Oryctolagus cuniculus: one gene and its partners. The protein of the gene in region 7 purifies or fractionates together with the protein of the main gene of each other region. This does not show direct contact. Links are inferred from orthologs where the notes say so. Each region holds a gene or a part of one and is shown on either strand. Other genes may lie near its edges. The genes, in order: PRUNE1, AXIN2, PRKAR1A, AKAP11, GSKIP, YAP1 and GSK3B.

What was found.
Region 1: the proteins of GSK3B (region 7) and PRUNE1 purify together in Homo sapiens (affinity purification with mass spectrometry; 5 studies listed by BioGRID and IntAct, with this or other methods). This does not show direct contact. The link is inferred for Oryctolagus cuniculus from reciprocal best matches to the Homo sapiens genes GSK3B and PRUNE1.
Region 2: the proteins of GSK3B (region 7) and AXIN2 purify together in Homo sapiens (affinity purification with mass spectrometry; 9 studies listed by BioGRID and IntAct, with this or other methods). This does not show direct contact. The link is inferred for Oryctolagus cuniculus from reciprocal best matches to the Homo sapiens genes GSK3B and AXIN2.
Region 3: the proteins of GSK3B (region 7) and PRKAR1A purify together in Homo sapiens (affinity purification with mass spectrometry; 3 studies listed by BioGRID and IntAct, with this or other methods). This does not show direct contact. The link is inferred for Oryctolagus cuniculus from reciprocal best matches to the Homo sapiens genes GSK3B and PRKAR1A.
Region 4: the proteins of GSK3B (region 7) and AKAP11 purify together in Homo sapiens (affinity purification with mass spectrometry; 4 studies listed by BioGRID and IntAct, with this or other methods). This does not show direct contact. The link is inferred for Oryctolagus cuniculus from reciprocal best matches to the Homo sapiens genes GSK3B and AKAP11.
Region 5: the proteins of GSK3B (region 7) and GSKIP purify together in Homo sapiens (affinity purification with mass spectrometry; 10 studies listed by BioGRID and IntAct, with this or other methods). This does not show direct contact. The link is inferred for Oryctolagus cuniculus from reciprocal best matches to the Homo sapiens genes GSK3B and GSKIP.
Region 6: the proteins of GSK3B (region 7) and YAP1 purify together in Homo sapiens (affinity purification with western blotting; 3 studies listed by BioGRID and IntAct, with this or other methods). This does not show direct contact. The link is inferred for Oryctolagus cuniculus from reciprocal best matches to the Homo sapiens genes GSK3B and YAP1.

The regions. Positions count from the first base shown.
Region 1 is NC_091438.1:47,077,149-47,081,041, forward strand, and holds part of PRUNE1 (exopolyphosphatase PRUNE1), read right to left. Parts: intron 803-3,893; coding exon 710-802; exon of another isoform or gene 626-709; intron 195-625; coding exon 1-194. UniProt on the Homo sapiens protein: Phosphodiesterase (PDE) that has higher activity toward cAMP than cGMP, as substrate. Plays a role in cell proliferation, migration and differentiation, and acts as a negative regulator of NME1. Plays a role in the regulation of neurogenesis.
Region 2 is NC_091448.1:11,836,755-11,840,647, forward strand, and holds part of AXIN2 (axin-2), read right to left. Parts: intron 2,569-3,893; coding exon 2,428-2,568; intron 2,309-2,427; coding exon 1,809-2,308; intron 1,580-1,808; coding exon 1,385-1,579; intron 1,072-1,384; coding exon 841-1,071; intron 290-840; coding exon 194-289; intron 1-193. UniProt on the Homo sapiens protein: Inhibitor of the Wnt signaling pathway. Down-regulates beta-catenin. Probably facilitate the phosphorylation of beta-catenin and APC by GSK3B.
Region 3 is NC_091448.1:11,146,066-11,149,958, reverse strand, and holds part of PRKAR1A (cAMP-dependent protein kinase type I-alpha regulatory subunit), read left to right. Parts: intron 1-801; coding exon 802-960; intron 961-3,139; coding exon 3,140-3,200; intron 3,201-3,893. UniProt on the Homo sapiens protein: Regulatory subunit of the cAMP-dependent protein kinases involved in cAMP signaling in cells.
Region 4 is NC_091440.1:61,455,634-61,459,526, reverse strand, and holds part of AKAP11 (A-kinase anchor protein 11), read right to left. Parts: intron 3,469-3,893; coding exon 1-3,468. UniProt on the Homo sapiens protein: Binds to type II regulatory subunits of protein kinase A and anchors/targets them.
Region 5 is NC_091451.1:40,752,438-40,756,801, reverse strand, and holds the start of GSKIP (GSK3B-interacting protein), read right to left. Parts: upstream 2,835-4,364; 5' UTR 2,727-2,834; intron 1,576-2,726; exon of another isoform or gene 1,551-1,575; coding exon of another isoform or gene 1,474-1,550; intron 1-1,473. Other genes in the region: ATG2B (autophagy-related protein 2 homolog B), read left to right, coding at 3,285-3,446. UniProt on the Homo sapiens protein: A-kinase anchoring protein for GSK3B and PKA that regulates or facilitates their kinase activity towards their targets.
Region 6 is NC_091432.1:93,678,960-93,682,852, reverse strand, and holds part of YAP1 (transcriptional coactivator YAP1), read right to left. Parts: intron 1,433-3,893; coding exon 1,302-1,432; intron 1-1,301. UniProt on the Homo sapiens protein: Transcriptional regulator with dual roles as a coactivator and corepressor. Critical downstream regulatory target in the Hippo signaling pathway, crucial for organ size control and tumor suppression by restricting proliferation and promoting apoptosis.
Region 7 is NC_091435.1:76,547,646-76,552,096, reverse strand, and holds the start of GSK3B (glycogen synthase kinase-3 beta), read left to right. Parts: upstream 1-1,276; 5' UTR 1,277-1,327; coding exon 1,328-1,415; intron 1,416-4,451. Other genes in the region: transcription factor SOX-4, read right to left, coding at 1-915. UniProt on the Homo sapiens protein: Constitutively active protein kinase that acts as a negative regulator in the hormonal control of glucose homeostasis, Wnt signaling and regulation of transcription factors and microtubules, by phosphorylating and inactivating glycogen synthase (GYS1 or GYS2), EIF2B, CTNNB1/beta-catenin, APC, AXIN1, DPYSL2/CRMP2, JUN, NFATC1/NFATC, MAPT/TAU and MACF1.

The DNA of each region.
Region 1 (3,893 bases), on a different chromosome or scaffold from region 7:
ACATGATGGTCAACAAGGACAAGGCTGAGCTGGCTAGCCTGGTGCAACGCGTGGAGGTCAATCTCATCCCGAAAAATTAAGAGAGTCTCTGGAATGTGAAGCTTCTGGAGGAAGAAGACGTTGTCGCCTCGCAGAGGTAGCTCAGAACGTTTTATATTTAGAACTGGCACGAAGATTTCCTCGGCCTCAGTCGTCTGGGTAGAAAAATCAAAAGATGACAGAAGGAAACAAGGCCACTGACACCAAAAGATGTGGCCCTGCTAAGTCATCACCTTTCTCAGTCACAATTACCCAGTCTATAAAAACGAAAGGGTGACCTGCCCTCCCTCCAGCTTAGCAATGACAAGAAAGTCAACAAGGTATCGCAGTGAAAAAACCCCAGTGCTACAGAGACAGGATTTGTGGTTCTGAAGAGCTAACCTGGGCAAGAAGAATACACACTAGATAACTGATACCCATAAGGAACTCAATAAATAATACACTGTTTAAATATTGCCTTATAGTTTATAAACCCCTCAAAATATAGTTGCTTGTTTGTTCCTCATGGCAACACTGTAAAATATTCTCATTTCAGATTTTATAGACGGTGACATGAGACTCAGTAAAGTTAAGGGGTTTTGCTTACCCAAGGCTAAGTGCCGCTAAGTGGCAGAGCTGGGTCTTGAATGCACATCTGTTCGTCCTAAGGGACTCAGCGCCCAGTACTCACCTTTGCCAGGTAAAAAGCCAGGGTGAGAGCAGACACCATGGAGTCCAAGTCACAGGCTTCATTTCCCAGCACCACATGGAGAGGTCGGGACTCCTGGGAGAGAAGAATGGGAAGCAGCGGCGTCCCTATCTATTCCCGCGCACCCTATCCTCCCGTCCTCAGGGAGGGCTTCACTCCCATCCTCTCCCCGAGCTTCATGGAGCAGGGGGCTCAGACCGTCTTCTGAGAGGACCTCAGCATCCTAGCAGGCAGGGCTAAGTGTTTCAGCCACACTGTAACATCCCATACACACCCAGTTACTGGGAAAGTCTTCTTTCCTCTCTACTAAATTTGACTTACAGAAGAGCAGTAAATAATCCTCTGACTTCTTGTGCTTCTTTGGACACCAAAATAGTCAAAAGTAGGCCATTTAGAATAGGTGATATATTCCAGCAACACTCTTAGGCATAACAGTCCTTGTTTGTCCCTTCCATCCCCATTTACAAAGCAGGAAAAAGAATTCTTACACCTCTAAGTCATGAAAATAGGGGACAGCCCATGTGGCATAGCAGGTAAAGCTACTGCCTGCAGTGACGGCATCCCATGTGACCACCAGTTCGAGTCCTGGCTGCTCCACTTCTGATCCAGCTCTCTGCTCTGGCCTGGGAAAGCAGTAGAAGATGGCCCAAGTGCTTGGGTCCCTACACCCACGTGGAAGACTCAGAAGAAGCTCTAGGCTCCTGGCTTCAGATCTACCTAGTTCCAGCCGATGCAGCCATTTGGGGAGTGAACCAGCGAATGGAAGACCTCTCTCTCTCTCTCTCTGCCTCTCTGTAACTCTGTCTTTCAAATAAATAAATCTTTTTTAAAAAGAAAAAAATGGATCAGTGTTGTGGCACAATGGGTTGAGCTGCCACCAACAATGCCAGCATCCCATATAAGCACTAGCTCAAGTCCTGGCTGTTCCACCTCTACTCTAGCTCCCTCCTAATGAGCTTGGGAAAGCAGCAGAAGATGGCTCAAGTGCTTGGGGCCCTGCACTCTTATAGGAGATCTGGAGGAAGCTCCTGACTCCTGGCTTCAGCCTGCAGCTATTTGGGGAGTGAACCAGCGGATGCGAGATCTCTCTCCCAACCTGCCTCTCTGTAACCTTGCCTTTCCAAATAAATAATTTTTTAAAAAAGATTTATTTTATTTATTTGAAAGACAGAGTTACAGAGAAAGGTAGAGACAGAGAGGTCTTCCATCTGCTGGTTTACTCCCCAAATGGCTGCAACGCCTGGAGCTGTGCTGATCCAAAGCCAGGAGCCAGGAGCTTCCTCCGGGCCTCCCACAGGGTGCAGGGGCCCAAAGACTTGGGCCACCTTCCACTGCCTTCCCAGGCCATAGCAGAGAGCTGGATCAGAAGTGGAGCAGCCGGGACTAGAACTGGTGTCCATATGGGATGCCAGCACTTCAGGCCAGGGCTTTAACCTGCTGCGCCATAGCGCCAGCCCCAATAAATAAATTTTTAAAAATTTCAATAAATCAGTCAAAAAATGGGCAAAGAGGTTAAAAAATAGATCTAGTCCTTTGGTTGTCTGAGAAAACGCCCACTGCCCTGAGCAGGCCTAATGATAACTACGTATAACCAAATACCTCGCACAGCCCGAGAACAGACGCTTTCCCCAGCAGGTTCGGATTAACGCAGGAACACATGCTACTGCTGGAACTTTTTTTTCTGAAAATCCCAGCTGCTGATAAGAACTCCGAGGAGGGAGGGATATCTGCTATTATTAACTTTGTTCCCTTGCAACGATCTCCCCAGCTATCAAGTCTTAAAATACCACAGTGTCTACAAGAGCAGAGTTGTTTTTTTTTTTTTAAGATTTATTTATTTGCAAGGTAGAGTTATAGAGTGATAGAGGGAAAGGTCTTCCATCCACTGGTTCACTCCCCCAATGGCTGCAAGGACTGGGCTGGACTGATCCCAGAAATAGGATTTTGCTTTTTGTTTTAAATGTTTATTGATGGGGCCGGCATTATGGCCTAATAGGTTAAGCCATCGTCTGTAGCACCTGCATCCCATATGGGCGCCGGTTCGAGTCCCGGGTACTCTACTTCCTATCCAGCTCCCTGCTAATGTACCTCAGAAAGCAGCAGAAGATGGACCAAGTCCTTCTTGTGGGAGACCCAGATGAAGGTTCTGGCTCCTGGCTCCTGGCTTTGGCCTGGCCTAGCCCCAGTCATTGCAGCCATCTGGGAAGTGAACCAGCAGATGAAAGACCTCTCTCTTTGTTTCTCCCTCTCTGTCTCCATAACTCTATCTTTCAAATAAATCTTTAAAAATATATGTATATATAAACATTTATTGATTGTGCCAGGTATTATTACAATATTTTTACATGCATTAACTAATCATTTAATCCTTAAAACAACTCAATGAGGCAGATACTTTAAAAAATTTATTTAGTTTTAGTTATCTGAAAGGCAGAGACAGAGACAGACAAACAGAAAGTGGTCTCCTATATGCTGGTTCATTCCCCAAATGCCCACTACAACCCGGGCTGGGCCAGGCCAAAGCTAGGACCTGAGAACTCAGTCCAGGTCTCCCACTTGGATGTCAAGGACCCAACTACTTGATGTATCACCTGCTGTCTACCAAGATGTGTATTAGCAGGAAACCGGAATTGGGCACAGAGCTGGAACTCAAACACAGGCTCCCCAATATGGGATTGAGGCGTCCCATGTGGCATCTTAACAGTTAGGGCAAATACCACCCCAAGGCAGGGTGAACGAATTATTTCATTCTCCGTGTGAGCATTTTGCTGGTGGAGTAAGACCATAAAGCCTACAGTTCAGCTCAGAAGACAATTCCTTCTTATTAGTTTACTTCTGAACTTCTATCTCTGCCTGCTTCTGAGAGAGGATAGGCTGAGAAACAAAACGACTCACATAGCAGGGCTCCTCAACTTTAGCATCACTGGCATTTTGACTAGATAATTCTGTTGGGGAGGGGCTGTCGTGTGCATTATAGGATATTTGGAAGTATCCCTGGTCTCTACCCACCAGATGCTGACAGCACCCTCAGTCATGACGATCAAAAACATCCCCACAGAAAGGAAAAAAAAAAGAAGAAAGGAGAAGAAGGAGCAGAAGGAGAAGGAGGAGAAGGAGAAGAAGGAGAAGGAGAAGAAGGAGAAGGAGAAGAAGGAGGAGAAGGAGG
Region 2 (3,893 bases), on a different chromosome or scaffold from region 7:
TCAGTACCCGTGGGTTTCCATGCTCCTCACCGAGGACCAACACCTGCACTTACTGGCCCTCACCACTGGCAGCCAAACTGATGGGATTTTAGACACCACAACGTTTCATGCAGACGCAGCTCCAGACAGGGCACACCCGGAAACGCAAACCACTCAGCGGATCTCAGCAGTACCGGGCAGTGGAGACACTCACTCTTCGGGGGCCAGGCTGGGGTTGGAGAAGGGCGTGGCTCCTGCCTGACCAGCGGCCAAGTGGTTCCTGTCCCTCTGCTGATTGGCCACACAGCACCTGAGGACACAGCCAGGGGGAGGGCTTTAGAGGTGTGGCCACCCCCAGGGTTACAGGGGACACGGACACACACACACACACACACACACACACACACTCTCTTTGGCCTCAGGAAGAGAAACGGACCCAACCTCCATCCCTGTGAAGACCCAGTAAGGCCTTGTGTTCGTTGGGGCTACAGGAGGCCTGGATGACACTTGGGGACAGCTGCTGCAAGCCCCCTGGGCACCCTGCACAGGACATCCTCAGCCCACGCCAAGGGCTAAAGACTCCTGCATCTCCCCAGCCAGTTTCCCACACGCTCAGCTAAGCAGCCCCCAGGGACCGAGAGGTTTTATAAGGAATGGGGTGTGTAAGGAATTATTCAAGTGTATGCTCCTGAATCCGGGTTCAAGTCAGGCACAGCAGTGGGACCCACGCCCAGAGGCTGCAGGGCGAATCTTAGTCGGCCAGAAGCAACGCCTGCTTCCAGGAGGGCCTGAGACCCAGGCAGGAAAGAAGGGTGCCCCCTTCCCCTCCAATCCCGCGCGGACCCCCTCTCTCCCACTCACCGCTGCTTGGGGGGCTTCGACACCTCAGCCAGCCTGCGGCAGGCCTCCTCCAGCTGTGCCAGCGTGTTGGGTGGGGTCAGGGGGGGCACTGCAGGGTCTTGGGTAAAGGGGTGGGCACGGGGGGCGGTGCGGGGGTGCCCGCTGCTCCCCCACAGATGGTGCCGGCTGACCCGTTCGCCCGGGGACCCGCGAGCAGACTCCATGGGCGAGGCCTTTTTTGTGCTCTGGGCACTGAACAAACGATGCAGAGAGAGAAAGTAGAAGGGAAGAAATTGGGTTAGAAAAACTGGAAAATGTGACTTCAATAGAAACTTGTCTATTCTGCTCAGAGAGAGAGAGAGAGGCAGAAGAAAAAAATAACTCTACCATAACACGAACGGGAGTGGCTGCCAAAACATGACATTTTTGCGGTCTGCCCAAGTCCAACGTTTAATATTAAGATGGCAGGAGCAAACAGTCGCACTTGTTTTCAGCCAACTGTGAAAACAGCCATCCCCGAGACCCCCGCGCGTGCGTGTCCGTGACCGGGGGCGGCAGCGTCTACCTGTGGGGCTTGGGCTTGCTCTGTCGCTCACTCTCCAGCATCCACTGCCACACATCCTGCGACCTGTCTCCTTCTTCTCCAGGCAGCTGCAGGGCCCCAGCGCCGCCGGGGGCCCCTCCTTCCCTAGCGGGCAGGGCCAGGCCAGGCTCCGTGCCTTTCCCACTTCGTTTGGGCAAGGTACTGCCTCTGCTTCCACTGCAGGAAACCAAGACCCACACCCAACCCAGAGACCCTCATTACTTCCCCTGATTCCTCCAATGGGACAACCGCACGAGCAGGGGCCGGGAACGCGACAGACCCATGCACCTGCACCCCCTCCCCCGGCGCTAAACGCCTGTGGCCGCGGACCCCGCCTCACCCCTGCCCAGGCCTCTGGCCGGGAGAACAGCTCCACGCGGGCTGCCGCAGACCGCCTGGCACTTACCCAAACTGCTCTCCTGGCACGGGCTCCGGAGCCTTGGGGTGGCTCTTGCACTTGCAGTAGCAGTAATACTCGGAGCACAAACAGCGCACCCTCTGCGTGGCCTCGGCCTCGAGCTCCTCCTTGGTCTTGGGGCCGGCGTGGTGGTGGATGTAGTGGTGGTGGACGTGCTTCGTGGTCTGCTTGCTCACAAAGCCCTTGCCCCCGAGCAGTGGGCAGGCCGGGGCGGCGGCCGCGGGGGGCAGCTTGCCCCCCGGCGGGAGGAGGGGGTGGTAGGGCTGGTGGTGGTGATGGTGGTGGTCAGGCGAGCGGGAGCGGGGGCTGGCGCGGCCCACGCCGGGCGACTGGCAGCCGGGGGTCTTGAGGACCCTGGACAGGTGGTCGTCCAGGATCGTCTGCGGGTCCTCCTCGTAGCCGCCGGAGGGCAGCAGGGACAAGGGGTGCTGGGCGGGCGCGCCTTCCCGCGCGCTCAGCGGCGGCTCGGAGCCTTCCTTCTCCTCGTCCTGGAACGGGATGGCGCAGAGGGGCCGTGTGGGCAGGCACGCACGGGATGGACGCACGCACGCACGGGATGGACGCACGCACGCACGCACAGCGCTGGAGGGCCACCGCGCGGGCCTACCTCGCGCATCTGCTGCAGCCGCTCCTCCAGGCTGTGGCGGCTCTCCAGCTCCAGCTTCAGCTTCTCCAGCCTGGCGATGAGCTCGGCCGCGAAGGCGGCGGGTTCCACGGGCGTCATCTCCTTGGGCAGGCGGTGGGTTCTCTGCGGGGCGCGGGGAGGCACAGGGACGGGGCGCGCTTAGCAGGCCGGAGCTGCCGGAACCCGCGCGCCCGTGCCGGGGCGGAGAGCGGCTGGCGCGGCGGCCGGGGCTGTCGGGGTTTTTATGCGGCGGCGCCGCGGCCTCATGGAGAGCCATGGTCCCCACCAGCGTTTGCCTTGGGCAGGAGCAGTTGGTCGCACTCCGAGAGGCCCTGCTTGTTCCCTCTGTAGTACAACCAGCCCATCAGTAGCTACTCTGAAGTAGACAATCTTCAAAGACTGTTGTCAGACATCAAAAAAAAAAAAAAAAAAAAAAAAAAAAAGCAGCCCTCTGAGATGGGGAGGGGAGCGAGAGCAACTCAAGGAATAGAAAGTAGCGTCTAAACAGAAGGGGAGTTGGAAATTAAAGAAAGTAAGATTGCAAAGGAGGTGGGGGCGGGGGGAATAGGAAAAAAAAAAAAAAAAGAGAGAGTGTCGGCAGGCCCGGATCAGAGAAGCAGCGGTAATTCGTTCCTGGCCGCACACTGCGCACCTCTGAGGTGCTGTTGTCTCCACACTGGCCTCGGCCTCCCTCGCCTTCCTCCTCCCCTCCTCCCCTCCTCCCCATCTCTTTGTACGGAAAATGAAGAGAGCTGCTGCAGGCTAGTAGCAGACCACTGCTGCGCTCGGCCGCCTGAAGTTGAGCCATCAAGGGAACAGGGAACATCTCCAAATCAAGTGCGGAATATAAAGAGGCCCCGCGATCGCATCGCCTGCCAACTGCAGCACGCGGGGCGGACCCCCGCCGCCGCCTCTCTGTCATCTCCCGCCCCGCCCCCCTCCCGGCGGCTCGCCTCCTTCCTCCTCATCTCCCGCCCGCTTCGCCCTTTTCTGGGGGCCGGGGGGTGGAGAGAACGCCAGCCCCAGCAGAAGAGGGGCCTCGCCCGGGCAACCGCTTAGCTGCAGAACCAGCCCGAGGGGGCAGAGAGAGCCCCCTCCCCACCCCCAGCAGGAGGTGGCCGGTTCTCACACAGGCTGGCTTTGCGCGCTGATGGGGAGAAAGTCAATTTGCACACCCCAGGACAAAATCCTCGAATTTACAAGCTTGGAAAATAATAGCGTTTCTTGGTATAACACACACACACACACACACACCATTTCCACCCCCCCCCCCAAAAATACAGCAACCCCAACACGTACACCACCAACACCAATGTGTTTGGGAGCAGGAGGCTGAAATCCCTCCCCCACCCCCCAGCGATCTTAACGTGCTGGTGAGAAGGTAAGGAGAGGCTGCCCAGGTGTGAGAGCGACAGAGCCACACCTGGCCTGCACTGTGCAGCATGCTG
Region 3 (3,893 bases), on a different chromosome or scaffold from region 7:
AAGACCAGTTTAGGACAGAGTCTAGACCCAGCTGTTAGGAGGCTTCATTTTTTTTTTTTTTGTTAAGTTTTGTTTACAATTGAAATGGTGATACAAATAGCATTGATCTCCTATGATTGTTAGAACATTTAATGACCTGATGCAAGTAAAATGTGTAACACAGTGCACAGTACAGTACTCTGTAGTGTTGATGTTATAATGCTTGGGTAGCCTTTTTTTTTTAAAGATTTTATTTATTTATTTGAAAGAGTTAGAGGAGAGGCAGAGAGAGAGAGAGAGAGGTCTTCCATCCTCTGGTTCACTCCTCAATTGGCTGCACTGGCCAGAGCTGTGCCCATCCAAAACCAGGAGCCAGGAGCTTCTTCTGGGTATCCCACATGGGTGCAGGGGCCCAAGGACTTGGGCCGTCTTCTGCTGCTTTCCCGGGCCGTAGCAGAGAGCTGGATTGGAAGTGGAGCAGCCGGGACTCAAACGGGTGCCCATATGGGATGCCAGCACTGCAGGTAGCAGCTTTATCCATTACTGCTGGCTCCTGGGTAGCTTTTTTTCTCCCATCTCTACAGAGTACCTTTTTCTTATAATTAAACCAGGTAAACTGTAGGCACTCCTAATTCACTTAACTGTCAGAACTCAGCCGTCAGCTGTTTTAACCTGCTGTGTACCAAGAACATAATATGTTGTGTTTTTTAAAAATGAAGTTTAGGATTCTGACCTTTTAAAAAGGTTTGAGGATTTTTAATACTTAGATATTTTTGTATATAGGGAAAAAGCATTTTGTTTATATCAATCATTTGCTTTTAGGTCTATGTCAACAACGAATGGGCAACCAGTGTTGGGGAAGGAGGGAGCTTTGGAGAACTTGCTTTGATTTATGGAACACCTCGAGCAGCCACTGTCAAAGCAAAGACCAATGTGAAATTGTGGGGTATTGATCGAGACAGCTATAGAAGAATCCTTATGGTAAGAGACCATGGTTGGTTTTTTTTTTTAAACATTCTGGTCTCTGTGACTAATGTTTGAACAATATCACCAAATGAAAATGAGACCATTCCTTACTTTTAATGATGGAATATTTTACATTAGACTCAGTTTAGCATTATTCATTATGCCATTTGAGACAGTTATATTTTGGCCAGAAATAACATGAGAAACAAAATGTCTACATGTAAAGATTAATTTATGTTAGAAGCTGATAGGCACATCTTAACTGATTTTACCCAGGTAGCCTGATGGGTGCTGCTTTTCAGTCACGAAGTCACCTAAGGCCAGACTCCCTACACTGTGGGGGTGTTGGCACTCAAGGGCATGTTGTGGCTTTTACTGGAGGAATAGGCAAAATAATACAACAATGGGAATGTTAGACGCTGAGTTAGTCACATGTTTTGAGAACATTTTAAGTTTATACTGAGTAACTTCGGGTGTTTAAGACCCAGCTAGTGACATCCATAACTTTGAATGGTTTTCTGGAGTTTGTGCAGTGCCCATGTGGCCATTTAAAAGTACAGTTTGATGCACTTTGCAATTTTTTGTATTCAAGCCCCCTAGGATACTTCATCATCCCCTGGTGCCCATGGGGGATTGGTTCTAGGCGCTTCCCCTGCCCCCGCCACCTCAGATACCAAAATCTTCAGATATTCAAGTCTTACATGAAATGGTGTAGCGTTTGCATGTAATGTATACCCGTCCTGTTTCTTCAAGTCATCTCTGTTATTGGGCATAAGGTTACTTAATGTAGATGCTATGTAATAGTTACACTGTATTGTTCAGGGGATAATGACAATAAGAAAAAGTATGTTTCAGAAAAGGTTTTTAACGTTTCTTAATATATATGATCTGCTTGGATCTGCAGAGGGAAGGCCAGCTGTGTTTACATATGTGTTTATGTGTGTAGGTTTATATGTTTTGGTGGAGGGGGTGATGGGTGCTAAGGCAGTTTACCGAGTAAGGGAAGGTTGTTTTAGAAGACTGTATCTGTCCCCTTCTTCATTCCCCCCAGTCTCTGCCAATAAGAAAACTTGATTTAGTTTGGGACTATGGGGCATTCTGGGGGGAGGGGTTGTATAAGCAGTGGTACTTACTTTTCTTTTGTCTATGGAGAAGTAGGGTTGTAGGGCAGGATTCTAAGCTGGAAATCACTTATTGCTTGGTGGGTTTTTGGAGAACCGATCATTTGCTTATTCGATGTTTCACTAATTGGTAGTGCTCTGCAATTTCTTTTTTTTTCTTTTTTTTTTTTTTTTTTTTTGACAGGCAGAGTGGACAGTGAGAGAGAGAGACAGAGAGAAGGGTCTTCCTTTGCCGTTGGTTCACCCTCCAATGGCCGCTGCTGCAGCCGGCGCACCGCGCTGATCCGATGGCAGGAGCCAGGATCCAGGTGCTTTTCCTGGTCTCCCATGGGGTGCAGGGCCCAAGCACCTGGGCCATCCTCCACTGCACTCCCTGGCCATAGCAGAGAGCTGGCCTGGAAGAGGGGCAACCGGGACAGAATCCGGCACCCCGACCGGGACTAGAACCCGGTGTGCCGGTGCCGCAAGGTGGAGGATTAGCCTATTGAGCCGCGGCGCCGGCCTGCTCTGCAATTTCTTTAATCATGTACCTGGTTTTTTTTTTTTTTTTTTTTAAGATTTAATTTTTTGAGAAGCAGAGATAAAAGGGGAGGGAGGGAGGGAGGGAGGAAGAGAGAGAATGAGAGAGAATGAGAATGTACTTCACTCCCTGATTCACTCCCCAATGGCTGCACCGCCAAAGCTGGGCCAGGCTGAAGCCAGGAGCTTCCTCCGGGTCACCCGTGTAGATGCAGGGGCCCAAGTACTTGGACCATCTTCCGATGCTTTCCCAGGCACATTAGACAGGAGCAGCCGGGACTCAAACTGGCGCCCATATGGGATGCCAACACTGCAGGTGGAGGCTTAACCCTCTGTGCCACAGTGCTGGCCGCAGCTGGTTTCATTTGAAGAGCAAAGCTTTTACAGAGTGTGGGCCTGTCTTCAGCTTGAAGTAGAATGAAGGTAAATAAACAACATCAACAAGCTTTGGCTTTTCTACTTTTTAAGTTGATTTGAAAGTTAATATTTGTCACTTCATTATCTGATATTACACCTTTTGGGGATGTGAGTTCTGTTATCTTTTTCATTTACAGGGAAGCACACTGAGAAAGCGGAAGATGTATGAAGAGTTCCTTAGCAAAGTGTCCATTTTAGGTGAGTTCTGGTGAAGAATTTTTAAATCCATGATAGTGATATTCAGGAGAACCTGTTTTATAAAAATTCTAGTTATTTGTTTTTGTTTATTCATAGTAATGAAAAACACCTGGAATTTTTGACAGCATTGAAAGTTTGACTAAATTAAAGGAATTTAAAAAGTTGTCTTTGGTAGTGTGTGACAAACGCTCCACTAGAAATGACTGGTCGTGGGAGGAGCTTCCCGAAGGCGTAGGTGCTTCTCAGTCTTGCCGAGGAGAGAGGGAGGCTGAGCAGATGTCCCATCACGAGGTCATGGTTCTGCAAAGTGTTTGCGAGCGTCCTTTGAAAAAATGACAGACTTTTGTTGAAATTTCGAGTGAAAAGCAGATTAATCGGAGATATTTCTGTAAGTTTGTGATGTGGACTCGGGGTGTTGTTGAGCCTGTTCTTGAGAAGGCGACATGGTGATTTTCATAAGGTAACAGTCTTCTGCCACTGTTTTGTTATAATGAGTTGTTTGGTTTTTTCCCCTCCTTTGCCTTTTCTTTGAAATAGTTACATTTGCTTAGAGTCTAAGGTGTGAATTTGGCCTTTGGTAACAAGTTATTTTCAAGCTCCTTGTAGTTGCACAGTAAATTCAGCTGAGAATTTAAATAGGTAAGGCATTTCTGCAGTCTGTGGAATAATATGGATATGTCATGGTAGGTTTGA
Region 4 (3,893 bases), on a different chromosome or scaffold from region 7:
ACTGATCCATTATTAACTCACTGTTACCACCTTCCTGTTTTAGTATTTGGATAATGTGGCCTGCATATTCATCTGTCACACTTTCACAGCTGGGATACTTATACATCAGCCCTGACATACAAGAACTTGGTGGTAATGAAAGAAGAAATGGGTCCACTTCTCTTGGGTGTGCTATAACGTCCATATTTAATCTCTCTTCTGATCGATAATCTCGGTCACCATCAAGATAACAACTGTTCTTCCTCTGCCTAAAAAGCATGCAACTTCTAGCTTTTGCAATTTTCTCAGCTTCTGTAATGACTTCTGTTGCCATATCACCTGCAAAACTGCACAATGTTTGCAAATTTTCAGCTGAGCAATTTAAAAAAGTAGGCGATGCATTTCTTTGACTCTGCACATCCAAGTAAGCACATTTACCCTTGGGTTCTTGAGTTATTTTATTATCTAAGTGGGAAGCTGCCATTTCAGTTGCCACAGAAATGATGTGTGTAGCTAATCCGTCGGCAAATTGAACTTTCTTCCCCAAGTGCTCTGACTTCACATCCAATTGTGGGTGCTCTTCATCTTCACTGCCTTCAACTTCTTCTGAAAGAGACCGCATGAGTTTCAACATGAACTCTTCTTTCTCTATGGTATTTTGTTCATTTTCAGACAAACTACCAACAGATGAGTTGTGAGGGGTGGAAGGTGGTGTAGCAGGTGCAAATTCTTTGGCTAATTCACCCTTCAGCTTTTTGGTTAACTTCTTAATATCCCACTCAGAACTGGCCTGGGATGGTAGCAGAGGAGTCGATGGAGGAGTGTCAGGTATTACATTTCTGTCTCTGATTTTTGGCTTGTCTTCCACATGAAAGCCATCTACACAGGTAAGCACTGAAGACGAGAAAGCATGTGAATGAGGAAAGGAATTTTCCTGTCCAAAAGTCAAGGGCTCAAGTGCTGTATTCTTCACATTATGCTTTTTCACTGTTTTATCCTTAGCAAGTTCTGTCAAATCAAGTTTCTGACCTGCCATGGTTGGATAAGTTGGCAGTGTCTCCAAAGGAAATCCATGAGCCATAGAACCTTTATGTTCTAGAACACATTCCTTTCCAACTGAAAGTGAACAGTCAGTCAAGTGATCTTGAACATCAAGAAATTTGGGGAACTTCTGGAAAGTCAACTGTAATTTTTCTCCAGGAATTGGTATGCCTTCCTTACATACGGTTTTATCTCTATTTGGGGTCACTGATTTGCTTTCATCTATGGAATGTTTAATAATAGATTTAGATAAACAGTCAGCAAACATGTCCCTACTGCTGATTTCACTCTGTTGCGACGTTGCTGGTTCACAATGGGACAAAGGAGAAGCTCTTCCCTCTACTGCTTTATTTAAACCACCTGTGTATTCACCAACTGGTTCTGTAACTTCAAATGATGCTACTGACTCTAAGGTTTCATTTACTAATGTATGTGCCATTGCTGAAGAAAAGTTGCTAATAATCACAGGATCACTTGTTAATTTTGAAGAACTCTGCATTTCAACATCATCATTAGCTGTTTTAAAATCATTCTGGTTAGGAGGATTGTGTTCTGAAGGCAAACAAATATTTCTTAGACAAGCTACTTCTTCTCCTTTGCTTTTTGTGGCAACATTTGCTGAGGTAGAATCACCATTTGAATTACTACCATCAGAGGACAGAGGAGACTTCGCCTGACATACAGATGAAATATGATATGGGAGAAGGGCACTTCCTGCCAAGGGCACTGGTATAGAAGTAACAATTCCAGAAGTACAAAACAAGGCCTGCTGCACTGTGTATTCCTTCTTATAGTCCTGTGTTGGTTTCGTCACCAGAGTTGCTTGGTTGTTGAAAGGAGAAACTGTGAAGGTCTGTGTCAATGGCACTACGCTTTCTGCACTCACATACTTGACATTATCCACAGAAACACTAACTGCTGCCTTGGTTGCGAAGGTCATATCAACTTGTGATAGTTCAATGAAGGCTTCCTGTATTACAGATTCAGACAAATCTCTTGCATACGACTTCACTACTTTGTTTTCAAAGTCAAATGACTTACATTGTGGAGATGCAGGTGTTGGCGGATACGAAAACTGACACACTTCCATGATGCCTTCAAAAACAAGCTCTTCAGCAAGATCTGCAGCAAACCTAGCAACTGTGTTTGTGAATATCTGCTTCTTTACATACTGTAAATCTTTTAAGGCATTGGCTAAAGCTTCACTCACCAAAAAATTAGCCAGGCTACTAATGGCACGTTCTTTCAGTGAAAATGCACGTTGTCTTCTCAGTTCATTAAATGCCATCTGAAAAACGGATGACGTCAATTTGATGGCTAAGTGGCACAAGGCATTGGTACACGAAGAGAGTCCTTTCTGCAAATCTTTAAATGCACTGCCCAAACTTTTTTCCACAAGGTCTGCTGCAAATTTCTGAATACTATCTTTAATCATTAATGATTTGTTTTTAGATTTACTTTGCTGGTCAAGGTTTCCATGCTTAAGAGCTACAGTTTTACTTTCTCCCCTTTTAATAACATTGATGTTTGATAGTGAATGACCGTGATGGGTATGAAGAACCGAGTCCAGCACTCCACATGAAACACTATCTGCATAATCTTCATAGGCGTAATAAATGGAATCATGATTCTCATGAAGCCTATCTCCTCCACCATCTGTTTGGCAGAAACATTCAGCAGGGGTACAGCCTCCAAGGGGACTAAAAGCAGAGGAACGAATAGGACTGAACAAACCACTGTCTTCTCCTGAGGCCTTCACTGGGCGAGGAGAATCTGGAGCATCACACGGATTGCCATATGGAGATTCTGGCTTCCGAGGAGTAGGCTTTCGAACATTAGCCGGCAGGGCCGGACGATCGAACTTTTGAGGATTCATACAAGACTTTTCAAGTTTGTGCGCTTTCTTTTGTGATGACTTTCCTATAGCAGGATCTTTTATAAACAGACAAGAAGTCTCTGAGGCTTGCTCTAGTTCATCAAACTGATCAAAACTATCAAAAAATTCACTTACTTCTGAGTCTGAATCTTCAATATCATCTTTCATCACAGGAATTTTAGGCAGCTCAAGTTTAGCCTTTAAACTTTTTTGATATCCTTCTTCATCCAAGAAAATCACAGGACTTGGGCTTGAGCATTCTGATTCAGAGGAGTAAGCAGGTGAAGAAGACAAAAAGGTTTTCTGTATGTCACTGCCTTTCTCAGCAGCTTTAGAAGATCTGTAGAAACTCCTTTGGATCCAAGGCTCTGAAATTGGTGTTGTGACTGAAGTTTTCACAGAAGGTAGTTCTTTATGTTCCAGAACATTTATTAAGGAGGTTGAAGGTTTAGTCAATGACTTCTGTTGTCCAGAACTAACCAGAATCCTTAAATCGTGGTTTTCTAAATGGTGACCAGAAATAGTCTGAGAAGCAGCATCACACTGGCTCCTTAATGCAATAACATTTATTCCTAAATGAAAAGAAATATTTCTATATTATTCCTTGCAGAGAAAGTTTAAATTTTTTTTAGAAATTTAAATCAGTAGAATAAAGTATGAAATATTTACTCCAAATGTGTCTTCTAAACTATGTTAACAAAAAGATTCATCCCAAGTAATACTTGAAAGCAAAATACACCCTTGACTATAACATCATTTTACCCTGTCTGTGGTATTTGGTCTACAGAATGGTTGGCATACTGTCACACATGTTAGAAACATACTAGGGTAGGTCTGCCAGCTAACTCTTCTGAAATCTGAACCTAAGCATGTTCCAGACACTGACGATAAAAAGGTAAACAGTGCTTGAACAGTAAATCCTAAAAACAGAAATAGCAAAACTGAAATCCAGTTAACAATGAACTTAAAAATCATAAGAAAATTAAGTCTTCAATCA
Region 5 (4,364 bases), on a different chromosome or scaffold from region 7:
AGGATGATTGTTCTGAAGTGACCTATTTAGCTTCTGATGTATAGCTTCTACTCTGTCACTTTAAACTCTTCAATATAATTCTTAAAAAGCTGACAAAATGTGGTTGGGTAATTAATTATTCTCATCTACCTCAATCAATGTCAGGTGTTAATATTTTGTGCTAGGTACTCTGTCTTCCATAAACACAAACATAGCACTGTGTCTGGGGATGAGTTTGTGTCCTGTTTGGGCTACAGGGATAATAATGACTGGTCCCAAACCTTAACATTTATCTTAGGGCTAGCGTTGTGGCACAGAGTTATGCCACAGTCTGCAACACTGGCATTCCATATGAGTGCTGGTTTGAGTACCAGCTGCTCCACTTCTTACCAGCTCCCTGCTAATGTACATGGGAGAGCAGCAAAGATGGCCCAAGCACTTGGGCCCCTGCCACCCACGTGGGAGACCCACATGGAGTTCCAGCCTCCTGGCTTCTGTCTGACCCAGCCCTAAGCATTTCAGCCATTTGGGGAGTCAACCAGCTGGTGAAAGATCTCTCTCTGTATCTCCCTAACACTGCCCTTCAAATAAATAAAGAAAATTAAAAAAAAATTATGTTGAAATTCTCCTGAAAAGCATAAAATGCACAAGGAAGCATTTAACACTTTAAATGGAAAAAACCTTCAATTTTAATTTTCCTTTCTGATAAGTGAAATTGCAAGCATCCGTTGACAGTCTGAATGTATTCTACATTGCTAAAGAAACCATGTATTTAAGTCATCGGAAGTAAGTCCAAATCATATTGCTAGGTCAGAAGCCCAGTTCAAAGCTCTCAAGGCCTATTCTACTGCCCTCTCAGATGAGAGCCCAATTTTCATTTTATTATTTATTTATCTGAAAGGCAGAGAGAGAGAGAGTGAGTGAGCGAGAGAGAGGTTTTCCATCCACTGGTTCACTCCTCAAATGGCCACAACAGCTGGGGCCAGGCCAGGCACTTCTTCCAGGTCTCCCATGTGAGTGCAGGGGCCCAGTCCTCCGCTGCCTTCCCAGGTGCCTTAGCAGGGAGCTGGACTGGAAGTGGAGCAGCAGCACCCAATGGGCTGCCTGCTGTACCACAAGGCAGGCCCCCACCTTTGACTTTTCATATCATTTTCTTTATTCTGCTTTTAGGGAGCCTATTTGCTTCAACAAATATCCAGAACCTAACTGCTTCTAACAGGTTTCACTGCTACCACTCTGGTCCAAGCCACCGTCATCTTTCGCCTGCATTACTGCAACACCGTCCTAACTGGTCTCGCTCTGTTCACCTTGGACCCGCCCACCCCCACGCCAGCCTATTCTCAACACCGCAGTTAGCAGGATCCTGCAAACTGAGGCCAGAGGATGTCACTCCTCTCCTCAACCCTCCCATTCAGCCAGAGTGAGAGCCAAAGGCCCAGAACCCTGCAAGACTTCCCGTCCCTCCTCCCAGTCTCTTCTTCCTATTTTACTCACGATTCCCCTTCAACCATCACGCTCGCTCCTCCCCCGTGTGGGGAGACCAACTCTCCAAACACCTGTGCACCTTGCATTCTCCACGTCTCTGCCAAATGTCACCTAGTTGGAGAACACCTTCTCTCACCGTCCGAGGCAAGACAGGCAAACCTCTCGCCTCTGCCCCGCCCGCTGTCTTTCCCTGCCACAGCGCTCACCGCCCCATGGCACGCTGTTACCTATTTCCCCTCCCTTCAACAAAGGGCTCCATGAGAGCAGAGACTTCGCTGTCCCACCGTGGTGTCCCCGGCACTTGGCGCGCAGCCAGTAAACGTTTCCTACTGAGTGAACCCCCGCCCCCCCCATCCACACTTTAGAACCGCAGCTCCCGGGACGCTCTGATCTTCGCACACGGAACTGCACCGACTTCCACTCTCTGGACCCCCGGTAAGCGCTTCCCCACGAACGCGGCGCCAGGGAAGGGTCGCTACTGAGGACACTCGGGCTGAGTCTACAACAGGGAGGGGCACCGAGGACCCCGGGGGCCGCACGGTCCCCACGCGGAGAAGCCAGCGTGGACGGGAACGCAACCTCTCCCCATCCGCCAACGCTTCGGGGCTCTGTTAGTGCTTCCAAGGCTTTCGCGAAACAGTTACCGAGACGGTCAGCACTGTCCTCAGCCCCGCGAATTCACTACCCCACGGCAGGTGCACGGGTGTCAGGGCTTCACGTCCGCTCACCTTCCTAACGATCATCCTCGGACTAAGACACGTTAATACCCTCCCCCTTGCGAAGGAGGCTCGGCGAGCCCGGGGCCGAGCGGTCGCAGGCGCGCACCAGGGCCACGACGCCGACCCGGGACCCCAGCGCGGGTCCCCGGCGGTCAGCGGGCCCTGCCGTCGACCCGAGGCGGCAGTTCTGGCCGCAGATGCTCCAACTCCCGAGTTTCCCGGTCGCTGGTGCCACACGCCCCGGAGGAGCTCGGCGCGCCGCCGGCCGCCGGCCGGCTCCGGGAACAATACCTGAGGAGGCGGGGGCGGACCCTCGGCGCCCAGCGGGCGGGCGCGGAGGCCCGAGGGGCGCCCCGGTCCTCCCCAGCCAGACAGCGGCGCTCCGAGCCGCCGCGCCCGGGGCCCCCGACGACCCGGGCCCGCCCGACCCCTCTCGGCCTGCCGGCCCCGCAGCTCGGGCCTGCCGCGCCGCAGCCCCCGTCCGGGCGGCCCCACGGCCCGCCCGTTCCCCTGAGTCCCCCGCCGCCGCCGCCGCCCGCTCACCTGCGCTCGCCCGCCTTCTCCTCTTCCTCCCTCGGGAGGCCGCCGGAGCCGGCCCGCGGCACCGCCCCCTCGGAGCCGGAACTGCTCCGGCCCCGGCTCTTCTTCCCGCCTCCCTCGGCCCCCAGTGTGGCGTCACTTCCGCCTGCGCCCGGCCGCGCGCGTGCGCGTGAGGCGCCTTGGGCTCTCGCGAACGCGCCGGGAGCGTCCCCAGGCTCGGGAGCGCGCTTCGTGGATGACAACAAATTCGTCGCGCGGCTGCCGAGGAGGTGTCAGCCGCCTCCTGTCGCGCGCTCCCGTGTCCGGGCCGAGGAGGATCCCCTCGGGAGTCCCTGCCCCGGACGCCGGGGCCGCCTCTGCGCCGGGTCCTTGCCGGGCCTGCGACCGGTGTCCGGCGCGGGCGATGCCGTCGGCCTGAGGGCGCCCGGCGGTGAGCGGGCATGAAGGGGCCGCGCCGGGCTTAGGCCCCGCCGCGGCCCGGGGACGCCGGCCGGGCCCCGGAGCGCCTTCGCGGCCGGAGCCGGAGCCTGGGCCCCGCCGCCGCCGCCCTCAGCCGCCGCCATGCCGTGGCCGTTTTCCGAGTCCATCAAGAAGAGGGCCTGTCGGTACCTCCTGCAGAGGTACCTGGGCCACTTCCTGCAGGAGAAGCTGAGCCTGGAGCAGCTCAGCCTGGACCTGTACCAGGGCACCGGGTCCCTCGCCCAGGTCCCCTTGGACAAATGGGTAAGAGCTGCGGGCGGCGGGCCCCGCGCCCCTCCTCGGTGCCGTCCCCCCGGGATTTGGGGACCCGCGTGTGGCCGGCCCCGGAGAAACGTGTTTTGAGTGCTGGACATCACGTGTTCCAGAAACCGAGCGGACAGATGGGAGCCTGCGCTGGGGGAGTGCTTGAGTTAGGGCGGGCGGCGGGGGCGGTCTGGGCCGCGGATCGGGGGTCCCACGGCCAGCAGACCCCGTGTCGCGGCGTAGCGTTCCGGAAAGGCGAGGGGGACCCGTGGGATGCCGAGGCCCCCGGGCACGCCGCGTCCGGCCCGGGGGACAGCGGGGGAGGCCTCGTCCGCCGGCTTGCACGCCTTTGTACCAGGCTATGTTTACACGGACAGTGTGCGTGCCTTTTGGCTTCACGTGACAGATCGTAAGAGCAGGTGTTGCAAAAGCGCTGAGGCTGCACTTTTCAGACATTTTAAAGCCGGTTCTCCACTGGTCGTCGGAGGCCGAGTTGACTCATTGTGTCTTGCGGGTGCTTGGTGTGTGTTTGCACGCGCCCAAGCGCTGGCCTGCGTCCCTGCGTCCGGGGCACGGTGTCTGACCGTGCTCACCGGCTGGTTGGACCGGACCGCAGCGGCTCCTCCCCTGCTAACTGAGCGCTGTAGCCTCCCTGCTCCGGGCTGAGATGTGACTGTATCAGCGAGGGGAGGGCTTGCAGGTGGGAAGGGTCCCGGGGCACCCCAGGCCGCCGCGATGGGCCCAGCCGCTTTCCGTAAGCGCTAATGCCTGGTACTCTGTCAGTGTCCACTGCTGTGGTTCTTCCTTGGAGCCAGGGGTTCGGGTGGATGTTGAAGTAACAACCCGAGACTATACGTTTGGAAGTTTGAACGGATCGGGTTAAGGGGGTGGCTGGGTGCTTATGAAATGCGTGGTTGT
Region 6 (3,893 bases), on a different chromosome or scaffold from region 7:
ACTTGAAAGGGAGGGAAAGAGAGGTGGAGAGAAAGAAAGATCTTCCATCTACTGGCTTGCTTCCCAAATGGCCACAACAGACAAGGTTCGGCCAGATCAAACCCAAAGCCAGGAACTCCATCCAGGTCTCCTATGTGGGTGGCAGAGACTCAAGAATTTGAGCCATCGTCTATAGCTTCCCAGGCTCATTAGCAGGAAGCTGATCTGAAGTGGAGTAGCTGGGACTCAAAATTGGCACTCTAGTATAGGATACAGGTGTTGTAAGTGGCAGTTTAACTTGCTGAGCCAACATGCCTGTCCCACATCTTCATTTTAAATGGCTTTCTAGGCAAAGAATATGACCTGTCGCAGCTTGCAGGGTTTTTTTTTTGTTTGTTTGTTTGTTTTGTTTTTGTTTTTGACAGGCAGAGTTAGACAGTGAGAGAGAGACAGAGAGAAAAGTCTTCCTTCCGTTGGTTCACCCCCCAAATGGCCATCACTGCGCCGATCTGAAGCCAGGAGCCAGGTGCTTCCTCCTGGTCTCCCATGCGGGTGCAGGGCCCAAGCACTTGGGCCATCCTCCACTGCACTCCAGGGCCACAGCAGAGAGCTGGACTAGAAGAGGCGTGACCTGGACAGAATCCGGCGCCCCAACCAGGACTAGAACCCGGGGTGCCGGTGCTGCAGGCGGAGGATTAGCCAGGTGAGCCCTGGCGCCAGCCCAGCTTGCAGTTTTCAACAGCAGTTTATAATACCATTACAATCTTCCTGAAATCCAAGATTTGTGGTAACTAAGAAGTATCCTTAAGCTATATCATTTTCAAACACTACCATTCATTTTAATGCATTTTTTGAAAAAGGTACAACCTTACATATTATCTCCTTGAACTATGGCTCTTGAGAACACGAGGCCTTAAAATGATGCTCTGTAAAAGCTCTCGGGTTGAACACCTATGTGGAAAATCCCTTCTAATGATCTTTATAATGCAAAAGTGGATTTATGATACAGTTCATTTGATTTCATAGAGAAGCATGCACATGTTCCTTCATGATTTTGTAATTCTAAGTAACTGTTAGTCAACAGTACAGGCAGAAGCAAACACGCTGTGACTCTGAGTAAGTATCCTCCTCACAAGTCTCAACAGCTCACTTTTTCCTGTAGAAAATGGCTTTTAATCCTGAACTTTTATTGGAGAAATTTATTTACAGCTATAATTTTTAGCTCACATACATGTTCAAAACAGCCTATTATAAGCACTAAGCAACATGATCTTAAATTTACAATCTTTTTCAGATACTAGACAGTAGCATCTCTTACCAACCTGTTAAGAAAGGGATCTGAGCTATTGGTTGTCATTGTTCTCAATTCCTGAGACATCCCAGGAGAAGATACTGGATTTTGAGTGCCACCATCCTGCTCCAGTGTTGGTAACTGGCTACGGAGAGCTAATTCCTTTAAAAACAAACATACACAAAAAACAACAACATAAACATAATATATCCTTTAAAAATTTGTTAGGTTTAAAGAATTAATGTTTAATAGGGTAACTGTGTACACAAAGTTGTAGTATCTATTTTAAATAACATACTTCCCAATCAGAGTGATCAAGTTCTTCTATCCATTGAAGTGATTAAAAATTAAGTTGCCTAAATTTGAAAGTTTGTTGAGTTATATTAACCCCAAAACATATACACTTTGGTACTTAGCTTCATTTTGATATTTTCCTTAATATGGCCTATACTACCAAATTCTCCTTTGGGGTAGAAGGGCAAGTCTGGTCTTACTGTAAGATACTAATTCCCTCTTCACCCCCAACATTGTTTTCCACTTTGGTATATCCAGTGTCTCATTTTGACTTCAGGCTTTTCTATCTTCAGTTAGAGTGTTTTATCCTCTAGCAGGGAGAGAGGAGAAGGAAAAAAAAAAGGCATCAAACATAAAAACATGAACCCAAAGTCCCTCCACTATAATCATAGGATTTAAAATAGGGTAAAATTTCTTCAGCGACATTCCAAATTTTTCAGCAGGATTCCACCTAGAACCTGAGCAGAGGCTATGGGCCACTACAAGATTTGCCTCAGCAGGTTTTGAGATAACCCAGACCTCAGTTACTATACTTGCCCAGGACCCACAGGTCAGTTCATCTCACTCGGACCAAACCCTAACACCTTCATCACTACTGTCTTTTTTCTGTCTCTCTATCATGTCTCTTTGAACTCTCCCATTCTCATCTTGCAAAGTGAGAAGTGACAATTGACAGTTTACTCCCTGAAGGTCTGTATGATGACACTTTCTCAGAATACCATACCTTTTTCTTTCACATGCTATTCTGGCCTAGAATACTTTTTCTTTCTTCCATATTATTTAAGACCTAGTGAAGACACCACCTTCTTTAAGTAACTCCCCATGATAACTCCATTTCCATCTTGAGATGGGATTAGACATAAAGATGTCATGCCTTTCACACCCTTAGCACATGTAACACAATCCCAGCATTTATCACACGATTTTGTAATTATTTATTTCTGCTGTACCCCTAAGGGCACAGTGAAGGAATGAACTGTTTTAGAGCATAAAATGACTTCTAATACTTTGAGTAATCTGTATTTCTCTTAAAATACAAGGATGTATTTAGCAATAAACTTTAGAATGTATAAAATTATAATCTCTGGATGAGGATGGTGTACAGTTTCTGTGACAAAACTGTGCATCCTTCAAAATATGGGAATATTAGAGAATATCTTGAAGATCTTCATATGTTTTGCCCCCTAAATTTCAAAGAGAAAGAGAGAAGGAGAGGGAGGGAGAAGGAGAGAGACAGATTCATCTCCTAGTTTACTCCCCAAACATCTGCAAGAGCTGAAACTGGGTGGGGGCCAATGCTGGGAGGCAGGAACTCAGTTACTTGAGACATCATCACTGCCTCATAGGATCCGCGTTAGCAGAAAGCTGCAATCAGGAACAGAGCAAGGAACTTTACTCATGTATTCAGATGTGGGTATGCGGGAATCCCAACATGCATTTTAACCACTAAGCTAACCGTCCCGCCATCATTGATTTTTATTAAGGAAGATATGTTCACATTTCTGTTTGTCTAACTTTGAACTCTTTTCAGCACAAAGTACTTGACACTAATCCATAAATCTTAAATAACTTAAAATATTTAAATATTTAAATAACTTAGTTAAAATTTTCATATTGTTTTCACAATTTTTTATTCTATGCCTTTTCATAAAATCTCCACTTTCCCAAGATCGTTTTATGAGGTTAAAACAAATCATCTGGTGTAGACTAGACTTTCAATGTTCTTGCTACCTTGAATTTTGCCAGAATGCTTGTTTAAAGCTGTCAAATTTTTATTTTGCTTTAGTAACTGAATTTCTATTATCAACAGACAATGCAGAGCAAACTATTCAGACTTACAAAAGAAAGGTAATTTAGAGATGTTAACAAGAAGGCAAATCTGGGGGCCATGTTATGGTGTAGTGGGTTAAGCTGTTGCCTGTGATGCTGGCATCCCATATGGGTGCTGGTTCAAGCCCCAGCAGCTCTACTTCCAATCCAGCTCCCTGCTAATGTGCCTGGGAAAGCAGTGGAGGATGACCCAAGTATCTGGGTCTCTGCCATTCATGTGACAGACCCAGATGAAGCTCATGGCTCCTGCTTTGGCCTGGCTTATCCTTGGTCATTGCAACCTTTTGGGGAGTGAACCAGTGGATGGAAGATCTCTGTCTCTTCTAAATCTGCCTTTCAAACTAATAAATCCATAATAATAATAATAATAATGGCAAATCATTCCTAATTGCCTAGGGAGATGTTCAATGCCCTGAGAGATTACACAAAGACCTTGTCATCAAACTATATTTGACCCATGCCAACAGTAAGTAACCTATGGATTTTTCTAAACTGAACA
Region 7 (4,451 bases):
TTTTCCGCTCTCTAGGCGAGGCTTCCCGGGGGCCCATTCTAATTGGCTCTTCAGGCCGATCGGCTTTTTCCGGGAGGAGCCGTAAAGAAACGACGCCCGTGATTGGCTTCGCTGGGGGTTCGGCTCCGCCGCCGAAGAGGGCGGGCGTTGGGCTCGGCCGGCGATTCCCAGACGCCTGTTACGCGGGCGGCGGGGCGCGGGGCGGTATAAGGCTGGGTGGGGGAGGAAGGAGGCGGAGGACGAGTAGGAGGCGGGGAGAGGGAGGGGGAGGGGGGAAGGCGCTAGGCGGCTGCGCAGACGGAGCTCCTCACACAGAGCAGCCCCCGACCCGGGCGAATGCGGGTTTGTGCTGCCGCTGCCGCTGCCGCCGCCGCCGCCCGGGCCGAGTGACAAAGGAAGGAAGGAAGCGAGGAGGAGCCGGCCCCGCAGCCGCTGACAGGGCTCCGGACTGGGGGCACAGCACGGACACTTCCTCAGCGGACACGGAGCTGAGGCGCGGGGCGTGAGGGCGGCCGCGCTGGTGCTTTGGACGGGGGAGGGGGCCCCGAGGGAGACGGAAGCGGTTGCCGGGTTCCCATGTCCCCGGCGTATGGGGAGCAGTCGAGGAGCCGCTGCCTGGGGTCTGAAGGGAGCTGCCTCCGCCACCGCCGCCGCCATGGCCGCTGGATCCAGCCGCCGCCTGCAGCTGCTCCTGGCGCAATGAGGAGAGGAGCCGCCGCCGCCGCCCGCCTCTGACTGACTCGCGACGCCGCCGCCCTCCAGGACGCCGGGCCCCCGCCGGATCCCGCCGCTGCCGGAGCCGCAGCGTTTCCCGTCGCATCTCCGAGCCGCCCCCTCCCTCTCCCTCCCTCCTTCCCATCCCCCCTTCTCTTCAAGCGTGAGACTCGTGATCCTTCCGCCGCTTCCCTTCTTCATTGACTCGGAAAAAAATCCCCGAGGAAAATATAAAATCCAAAGTACTTATTTTCAATCAAGTATTTGTCCCCATTTCACGTGATTTTTTTTAAGGAGTCCCCCCTCCCAGGAAAGGGAGGGGAAAGAATTGTGTTTTTTTTTTCCCCTCCCCCAGCCCCAAATCATCTATATGTTAAATATCCGTACGGATCCGTCTTGAAGGAGAATACATCGCTCGTGTTTTTTTTTTTTTTTTTTTTTTTTTTAATATAGCTATACAAAAGAAGTGAAAAGCCAAGAGGACGAAGTCTTTTTTTTTCCTTTCTTGTGGGAGAACTTAATGCTGCATTTATCATTAACCTAACACCCCAATATAAAACAAAAGGAAGAAAAGGAGGAAGGAAGGAAAAGGTGATTCGGGAAGAGAGTGATCATGTCAGGGCGGCCCAGAACCACCTCCTTTGCGGAGAGCTGCAAGCCAGTGCAGCAGCCTTCAGCTTTTGGCAGCATGAAAGTTAGCAGTGAGTATTGATTTTATTTTACACCCCTTCTCCGTCTCACCCCTAAAATAAGCAACCTCGAAGTCCTAGAACCTTAACATACTAGACCTGATGGAACACTCACCAGAGCTAATGGAAAAGAGCAAGACCTGTCTTCAGTCGAGGATGAGGCAGCTCCCTCTTTTCTCCTCCCATAACCCCCTCCCTCGGTCTCATTAACCTTGAGTTCAGAGAGTACGATTTTTATTTCGATGATTCGATTTGAAACGTTTCTTGTGCTTTCCTTGCTACTGATGGTCGCCTTTATCCAGTGCTTGGGTGTTTCCACTTGGAAATTGTGATGGAAGCGTTTGCTTGCCGACCCTTTTGAATAAAGAGGACTAAACGACTCATAAACCATTATGTGCATTTGCAGAGTGTTTGTCTTTTGGAACGAGGGAGGAAATTCTGGTTAGCTCAAGTCTCGGGTTATCACAGCTTTGTGTACTTCATGGAGACATGAAATGTCCCAGTCTCCTAACGTTTCTCTTCGTGCTGGTGTAACTATACAAAGTATTTGTTCTTAACCTGGGGATGAACTTGCTCAGTAACCAGCATTCATGTGTGGAGGTGATCATCGCTCCCTCCCTTTACAAGGGGCTGATGGGAACAGATAAATATCCAGCAGCAGTAGCATCTCCAAATACATTGTCTTGAATTGGATAAGTGGTTTAATCTGTTATCTCTTAACCTTCCTGTTTTGGCATTACCAATCTGCCACCATATAATTTGTTTAATCAAAAGGTAACTTGGAAGGAGGTCCAAGTTTTGATTGAGGCGTATGTTGTCATAATGCCAGATACTAAGTTAAATGTTAATTGTCACTGACTCATTGTCATTTAAGTTCAATTTTGACGTGCTGTTGCATTTGTTACTTGTTAAAATATTCTAGAGTACAGAGGATTCCTTTTTAGGAATACTTAAAATATCCTTGCATCAGTTTTCTTGTAGATAAGATTGAATTTAGTTAGAGGAACATAGATTTAGTCCTTTCCATCATAGTTTTTGCAGAAGGTTGTCCTTCTGGAAATGGTAGGGCTGTCTGGGATGTGGTCTCAGGGTTGTTACCAGACTGTACTTTCACAAAGTCTGTTTTCTTGAGGTGTTTGTTATACTAAGTATCCAGTGATCCCACAGAGCTCTGTTTGTGAAGGGGTTTGTGTGGCAATTAATGGCAGGTTATTTAAATATACTTCCAGATTTTGACAAAAAAAAATGTTTATATTGTTTCCTTATTCTCTGAGAAAGGGGCATGAAGAGGGCAAACTATTTTGTTGCCTAGAGGAGCTAAGAGAACTGAAGAGCCTTAAACAGTAGATTCTGTTATGTGGACTTGATTACATCCTTAAGCAATATAAAATGTTTACTTTTAATTGAACTCAAGATTCCAATCACTTTGGCTTTTGGAACTTGCCTGAAACAGGATAGTCCAAGGTAATAGCTGAATGGGAGATTATTTTTGAGTTAATTTTTTTTTCAGTGACTAGCTAGTAGAGAATGCAGAGTATGTAAAGAGGGAAGCTGATTATGCATCTTTTTAGAGAAGGGTCATGCTTTCTAAGCCCTTCATGGGGTCATTTGAAAGAAGTTTTTTATTCTGGGGGTAATTTTTAGCTATGATGAAGCAAATATTACAATAGCTAATTAAGAGCCTCTTGTGATACTGCAGTGATTGTATGTTTTACATCTTGGTAATAATTAAAAAACACTGAAAGTCAGTTTTAGGAATATAATTATTAGATGTATTTCAGAGATCTATAATGCTAGTGTATAATGCTAAATTCTGGGATTTTATATTTTGTTTCTAGGATTTTCTTTGAAGATGACTCCTTAATTCTTGATGGCATACATGTTGACCAAGAATGGTGTGATTTTTGTAAAGTATGTAGGTTAAAATGTTTGATTTTCTGTTATCATGTCCTTCAACTTAATATTTAAAAAGTTGGAATTTATTGCTGAATATGCATTTTTGATAAGCCTAGCTTTAGGGATATTTAGAAGAAAGGGGAGTCATTAGGCATTTGTTAGGTGCTGGTGTTTTCAGGACCCATGTTCAAAAGAGATACATATGAAATTATAGTCCTTGGCTTCAAAAAAAGCTGGTCACTTAGTAGTAGAGGCAATTTATGGGAAAAACAATGAAAACAATGGCATTACGACTGCAAGGCAAAATACAAATTGAATCCTTTGTTCAGAGGGACAAAGAATAAAGGGGTGAGACATGCATTGGAGGGAGAAGGCTTCCTGTAGAGAAGGTGTGCTTTTAAGACAGGTGTTAAAGAAGGCTGTGTCTTGAATTGGTGGAGAAGCATGAAAGATTCTAGGTGAAAGGACTCCAGGCACAGAGATGGTGAGTTTTGTAGGAGAGGCAATAAATAAGCTGGTAAATCTGAATTATAAAAGCCTAAGTAGGAAAATAACAGGTAAAATTTGAGAAATATTGGAAGGATAGCTGACAGAGGGCAAGGGGTCTGAAAAAGTTTGACATTCATGAGAGCTCTGAACAGTTTTTTTTTTTTATAAACTTTATTTATTTTAATTTTATTGGAAAGGCAGAGAGACAGATCTTCTCATCTGCTGCTTCACTCCACAAATGGTCACAACAGCCAGGGCTGGACCAGGCCTAAGGCAGGAGCTGGAACTCAGTCTGAGTCTTCCACTTGGGTGGTAGAAACCCAAGTCCTTAAGCTTTCATCTGCTGCCTCCTTGGATGTGCATTAGCAGGAAGCAGAGGAGCTGGGACTAGAACTGGCCCTGCCATGTGGGATGTGAGTTGTACCAAACACCCACCCCTGAACAAGGTATTTGAAGATGATTTGGGCAGCTAAGTTGAATTAGAGTAGAACTATATTAGAGCCCTTTAGGGAGATGCTAGTGTATGTTGTGAATCATGAGGGAATAAAATAAACTGAAAATGGGATGAAAGGAACAGATTTGAGAGATGGTGTGAAGAAGAACTGGCAGGGTTTTGGATTGGACTGAAGGGGACTATTTGTGAACAAGTCAGGAGTTAAAAAT